2 linked regions of the Oryzias latipes genome follow. The protein of the gene in region 1 interacts with the protein of each later gene in a biochemical or structural test. Links are inferred from orthologs where the notes say so. Each region holds a gene or a part of one and is shown on either strand. Other genes may lie near its edges.

The links.
Region 2: of the proteins of fbxl17 (region 1) and sufu, one has a biochemical effect on the other in vitro, tested with the Homo sapiens proteins (2 studies listed by BioGRID, with this or other methods). The link is inferred for Oryzias latipes from reciprocal best matches to the Homo sapiens genes FBXL17 and SUFU.

The regions. Positions count from the first base shown.
Region 1 is NC_019867.2:8,013,554-8,016,671, reverse strand, and holds the end of fbxl17 (F-box/LRR-repeat protein 17), read right to left. Parts: intron 2,113-3,118; coding exon 1,975-2,112; 3' UTR 511-1,974; downstream 1-510. UniProt on the Homo sapiens protein: Substrate-recognition component of the SCF(FBXL17) E3 ubiquitin ligase complex, a key component of a quality control pathway required to ensure functional dimerization of BTB domain-containing proteins (dimerization quality control, DQC).
Region 2 is NC_019873.2:23,439,418-23,443,346, reverse strand, and holds the start of sufu (suppressor of fused homolog), read left to right. Parts: upstream 1-1,191; 5' UTR 1,192-1,372; coding exon 1,373-1,521; intron 1,522-1,891; coding exon 1,892-2,026; intron 2,027-2,213; coding exon 2,214-2,350; intron 2,351-3,232; coding exon 3,233-3,375; intron 3,376-3,929. UniProt on the Homo sapiens protein: Negative regulator in the hedgehog/smoothened signaling pathway. Down-regulates GLI1-mediated transactivation of target genes. Down-regulates GLI2-mediated transactivation of target genes. Part of a corepressor complex that acts on DNA-bound GLI1.

The sequences.
Region 1 (3,118 bases):
ACAACCTCCAGTGTTTGATCAGCAGAGATGAGACGACCAGATCACATTGAACAGCAAAAGCGCCACTTGAAAGGACAATATCGGCAAAGAATGGAGACAGACTGAGTGACAGCTTGTTAGCTCTTTGAGGCCTTTGCTGCCTCGCTGGGCAGCAAGCTGATGTCTCCTCACTTTGTCTCAGATGTGGGTTCCGTGTGATCGTAAATAGTCCCGACTTTGAAAGTGTCCCTTAACAGAGATGAAGGTTGACTGTTGTGTCATGGAGCGCAGTACAAAAGCCATTACAAATGCATTGCTGTCTGTAGAAAAAGAGATGCTCATTTGTCAGAAAAACCAGCTCATTTTGGAGGTCAATTTGATCACCGTTATGATGATAAAGTGTAATCAATATAAAGGAAAGTTTAGAAACTGCTGGCGACGTAGAATAAAGCGGAAAAGGGATCCGTCTGTCATTCTGAGTGCACTTTCAAGCCCGATTGAAGACACGCTGAAAGAAGAGGGGAAAAAAGCTTCAAGTTGTGGGTTTTATTCATCATTATGTAAATCCAGTCATTTATGGTTGTCTTAAGAGATCAGAAATAAAGTGAGTCAACATCTAGCAGAGAAAACAGTGCGCACAGGGATTACAAAAGAACAGAAAGAGATCAAAACAGGAAGGAAAGAGAAATCCTCCGTTGAATAAAGTCTACAAATCCTGAACAGGGTTAAATGCTTCAGATTTCAACTCTCCACCCTGCTGAAAAAGTTTACAGTTCTAGTCAAAGTCCAATCCAATGAGCTTTAGTTTCCATGTGAGTGACAGCGAGAGGTGACTGAGCCCAGAGCGGACTCACGCTGTACAAAAATACCCTGGCCGTTTGAATTCTTTCACTGTACACTACATAGCTTTTATATAATAAAGGAAAAACGTTCACCCAGACACGCATACTCACGCCGTTTCAGGCCAAAGCCACTTTTCTGCTGCTCCACGTGGAAGAGAAAAAACTGCTTTGCTACACAGCTAATGTTACAATTATGTTTAAACCAAAAGTTGACTAAATAAATCTAATGCAGTATTCATGTCTGTATATATTTATATAAATATGTGCATATATGTAGACCAAACAATATGAATAAGGTTTCTTATAAATCAGTTAAATATGTCTTTCTGAAAATGGGTTTTTGCTTTTTTTTGGCAATAAACCAATTAAGGTCACAATTTTTTTTCTATTAAACTTTGCCTTTGACCCAGGTGAAGGTCGTGTCTGTCTCAAGATCTCTTTAATACTTAATGACTAAAAGTAAAGCCAATTTCCATTTCTGCACTGGATTAGAGGCAGAATAGTCAATGAACCAAATTTAACTTCAACAGAAAAATATTGTAAACACACTGAGTCCCTAACTCTGCAAAAACATTAACGTTAAACACTACTTATGTTCAATAAACAAGGTTTTTAATGAACAGAGAAGTAAAACACATTTTCTTTAAATGGTGAGGTGTAGAGCCGTTCACGTTGATGCTGTTGTGTTGTACTTCCTTGCTCTGTAACAGCTGGATTGTGAGTCGCTCCACAAAGAAAAAACCTTCTCATCCTCTTGTAGATAAAACTCATTTTTCTTCAAGTCTGAAAAAATTCACTTATTTCCCCGACTGATTAAAACTTGGTTTTCTATAAGTATCATCAAAAGCTGTCAAAAATTAACTCCCTCCTCTGCATGCAGACGCTTCAGAGAATTTAAAGACACTTTACATTCTTAACCTTTACTTCTAATAACATGAGCTTGTGTTGCTTCTGGTCTGAAGAAAGATCATTTTAAGTTGAAAATATCAAGATAGGAGATCAGATTCAAACGGACTGATGTTCCGTCTTGTGTGTCACTACAAGATCACATGCACGTGGTGGTAGTGAATGAGAAGCTGACGTGACAGAGCCCAACAAAATTCAGTTTTTCTGCGTGCGCGTTTGCGACTCGTTGGTTGAGGTCCGGTGTTAGCTACGAGGAGTTTGACGTGTTTGGGCTCCAGCCCATTTGATACGCTCTCTCAAGGGTCCTCTTGCAGTCCTGCATCACCGTGCTGAACACAATGTGAGGATACTGGACCACCAGCCTCTCCACCGTCTCCTCGTTCACCTGCAAAACAAAGAACCACATCCACATTTTGGTTTATTATATCAAGCTTCATTTGCTCATCTGTTTTCCAAGGCTTTTGGACATATTTTATATCACAGAGCCAATAGTGTCTTATTTCTCTTAATTAAAAATGCAAAGCTTCAATATTTGTACAGTTTCTACAACCCCTGCTAGAGATATAAACCAACTGGACTAATTAAAATGGCATTGACTGCAGCTTTATTTATTTAAGCAAATACAAATATAAGTGTTTTTTGCAACCAGTATCTGTGTGCTCATAGTAGTGTAGTAATTGTAGTTTTCCTTTGTGTGATAATAGTTTAAGACAAAATCCCCTTTTTTTAACTTAACTTAAAAACAAAAAAGACAATGTCTCTATTACACTTAGCTTTAAAAGAAAAAAAAAAAAAAACATTTTATATCTTTATTTAATCAGTTGATGCTTTTTCCTGACAGGTTAACACAATATGTTGAGCTTTGTGGCTAAATATAGCTGATGATCTGTTTATTAATGTAAACAGCTCTGTGTTTCACAGCTTGTTTTAATGCCTGGTTCTTTTTTTAAAAAATGAAAAAGACACATACCATGCATTGGGAAACAAAAGAAATAAAGCCAATAAAAACACACAAAAACGTACATTTCAAGACACACACAGTGAAGAAGAGGAAACTAAAAGACATATGTTAAGAAAACTTGAATGAAAATGAAAAGTACAAGCACTACAAAAAGGGGTACAATCTTGAAATGGCCATAACATATTGAATAGATTTAGAGAAAATGAAAATATTAAGGACATTTTCAAATATATGACATTTTTATTTATATAAAGAATAAAGATATTTTTTGATCTTACTTAAAACGATTACAGATGCTGATTTTCCATCGACCATGACACTGGGTTTCTAAAACGACCAATGTCAACATCTGTAAAATGCCATTGGCAGATTAAAATTATATTTTATAATAACTGGACAGACTTTAAGAGTGTAGAGCGTGTGGACAGGC
Region 2 (3,929 bases), on another chromosome or scaffold:
TTATCTTTACTCATGTCCCACGCAGAAACCAATTTCTCTCTTGTTGAAAGACGTTTCCCCTCAGTTTCACCCACACCTGATCTCACACAAAATGATCAAAAAACAGATTTGACTACAATTTACACAGCTGTTCATCTGCAACGTTCTGTGTGATTAAAGAACAAATCTTAATACCAAAGGAATTTATGACAGGCAGGTGGGGATGTTTTGTGTTTTTATAATAATTTTGATAATCCGTACATCTTTTAAACCCCCCTTTTGGGGTTAGACGGTTGCTGAAGCCTTGATGGACAAAGGTTAAGTATGCGCTGGGCAGGTTGCCATTCTGTCACACACACTTAAGGGGCAATTTAGACATTTCAATTAACCTATGAAGCACATTTTTAGACAGTACGGTAAGAAGAAGTTGGAGTTCCCAGAGAAGACCTGGAAAAGCCCCATAGCTGGGATTTGAAGCAGAGCCTTCATGATGTGAGACAAGAGTGCTGACCACTACACCAGCGTGCAGCCCAATTTTGACATATCCTTCTATGGTGGGGTTATATTTTATTATTTCACTTTCATGCTCATTCGGAGCAGAAGGAAAGGTTATCCCTCATCCTCAGTGTCTCCAATTTGAGCACATTCAGAAACAGTGTGTGTATTACTCCCCACAGCAAAAAAAAAAAAAAACATTTTTATTGATTTTGTCTAGTTGTTTTAGGGTTAATTCATTCACACAAAAAAAAATCCAAAGCTCCCTACTTGGATTCTTGGCGCCTTTTGTGTTGATTTACATTAAATGTCATCACTCTTTTGAAATTTGTTCTGTTTTATAATAAAAGAATAATATAATAGCTGCCATGAGGTCATAATTATTTAAGACCAATTTTAGATACAAAAAAAAATAATATGGAGGCCATCAGGTATATATTTTGTATATCTGTTTTGCTGTTGGAGTACATTTCCCTATGAGTAAAAACCTAATGAAACATCAATCCGTCCGCATAAGCACTGGCCTCTACTATAGTTGCATCATATAGGTTAATTGAAAACTATAATAATAAAAATGACAACAATAATTTTTTGACCACAGTTTTTTTAAGTCCGACACAGCGGCTCAAAAAGCTCCACTCCTATTGGTGGATAGAAGCGTCGATCTGTGACGTCATCCTCCCTGGCCAACCAGCTGTTTGGTGTTTTTTTTTTTTTTACCCCTTGTGGACAATGAGCAACAGGCCCCTGAGTTTAGCACAACGAGGAGAGTTCACTGTTACACAACGCCTTGCTTTTGAGAGATTTCTTTATTTTAGTGTCCTGAAAAGTAACTGAATTTGTTTATCTTTATTTTTTCGTCTTACAAAGATAATTCTGGATTGTTTGAGGCCGTGGTATGGACGAGATACGGCCTGTTAGCGGTGCGCCAGCCCACGGGCTGGTACCACTGTTTCCTCCGGGGCTGCAGGCTATCTATGGGGAATGTCGGCGACTTTATCCCGACCAAGCCAACCCGCTGCAAGTTACTGCCATTGTAAAATATTGGTATGTAACAAACCATTATTTTTAATCTGACAAAAATCTTTATAAGAGACTTTTTTGTGTGTGTTCTTCATGAAGCGATAGCTAGCATTAGCAGAGAAAAAGTTTAGCCTAGCTAAACAACTTAGCTAACATTTGGGAGATTTCTTCAAACAAAGGATGTTATTTTGATGGAATTCGGAATTTTAGCACCAAGTTTTATTGTTAAATAAAGCACAAAAAAGTGTAAATAATAACACTAAAATCTTTTCATCTCTCAGTCAGTTTAGGTACACATGACAGGTTTTGGAATAAACGTAGTTTTTTGACGCATCATGTATTGATCTTAATGGAAAACTTGCTTTTAATAAATGAAATGTTGTCTATACATTAGGCTTGGTGGGCCAGACCCGCTAGACTACATCAGCATGTACAGAAACATGGGCCGTCCTGCTCAGGACGTTCAGGAGCATTGGCACTATGTGAGCTTTGGCCTGAGTGACTTATATGGCGATAATCGTGTTCACGAGTAAGTTTTTGCAAATTTATTGACATGCTATTAAAATCATGATTAATCCAAATGTTGATATGGTACTGCACCCCCCCCCCCCCCCCCCCATAGTTAGCCATATGTTTTGATCTGTATATATCAATGCAGAGATTACCAAGGCAAGCCCTGCTGTTTATAAAAACATACACAAATTTACGTTTTTCAGATTTACAGGGGCAGATGGACCTAGTGGGTTTGGCTTTGAGCTCACCTTTAGGCTCAAAAGAGAGGTCGGAGAGACTGCACCTCCCACATGGCCAGCTGAACTCATGCAAGGATTGGCACGATATGTCTTCCAGTCAGGTAAAAATCGCAATCTGGTGCTCCTTCAATGTCCACATGCATTCAGATGATGCTGAAACATACATTCTCATGGATGGATAACAATTTTGAAAGTTTGATGGACTCCTGTTCTTGATGTACATTAAAATCCATAAAACCGTTTGTGAAACTGGTTGCTGCTAGTACGGCGTTTAAGTATTTAGCTCTGTTATTCGTTTTAACTATACATCCATTTAATTTAGGAACGTTGATTACTTTTTAAGGCAATTCTTTTCTTGGCATATGGTCTTCCAGTTGAAATCAATTTTTTTATTTATTGAGAACTGTTTTTTTTTATTATTCTATTTCAAAGATAAAAAAGATAGAGTTTTGTGGCTCCTGTAAACATCAAGAGTTGAAATGCTATGTTATCAGGTTTCTAGTTTTCTTCTGAGCCTGGATCAGAAAAATGTGGCTGAGTTGGGGTAGACACAAAGGAGGGGAAGCCGTTTACTCTAGGCTCTCATTTCCAGCTGGGGTCAGTTTGGATGTGGGTGGGCTCCTAAACAGAATGATTGCTGATTTTTCTGACCATCCTCCCCTTTGCTTCTCTTCTGAGTCCAGATAGGGAGCTTGTTGCCACCCAAGCAGATGCATTCACTCAGATGGATGAAGGCCATTTATTTAGTTTTTCTTGTTGTTTTCTTCTGATTTTCTACTCATCCTTTTTGTTATGTCATTTTTTGGGGTTCTTATTGCCTTGATTTTGTTATTCTTATATTTCTGTGCAGTGATACAGTAAAGTAAAGGAATGAGGAATGAGTTTGAAAACACAGACCCAGATGTACTAGACTTGATCTCATGACAGTCTTAACTTCCAACCGCATTGGTTGAACTAAAAAATAAAAAACTGCCTCTCTACAGAAAACACCTTTTGTAGTGGTGACCATGTTTCATGGCACAGTCCACTTGATAACAGTGAATCTCGGATCCAGCATATGCTGCTCACAGAAGACCCGCAGATGCAGCCAATCCAGACTCCGTTCGGCACAGTGAGCTTCCTTCAGGTGAATCCAAATTCCCTTCAGCTACAGAGTTCATAAGAATATATAGATATTTCTTTAGTTTTTGTTTGTTAACCACACTTTAATATGTTAGGTCGACCGGGTTTGTATATAATAAATATAGATTGGCATATTATTTTTCTGTGATTATCACAAAAAAAGGGATTTAAAAATGTATTTGTCAGTATCACAGTTTTGGTTTTTGCATTTAATTCTGTTAATTAAACATTCACTTTGAAGGTTCTTGTGTAACAAAGAAGGAAAAAACTGTTACAAAAACACTCCAATGACTGTTTCTACTGTCACGCTTCGTATTGTTTCTTTGCCTCGCTCACTTGTGTTTTTCTGGCTCATCTTTTTGGTTCATCATATGTGGATTGTTTGAATCTGAAATTCTGAGGTTTTCATTCTAGCGCCGCTGCTAAACTGTTAACCTTTTGTTTCTTTTACTTAAGTCAAAATGTCATATGAACATCAGAGAAATAAAACTTTCTTTTCAAACTGCATTTAAGGAACAGGAACAAAAAAATAGCTTTTTTTTTTACATGTTTCCAACT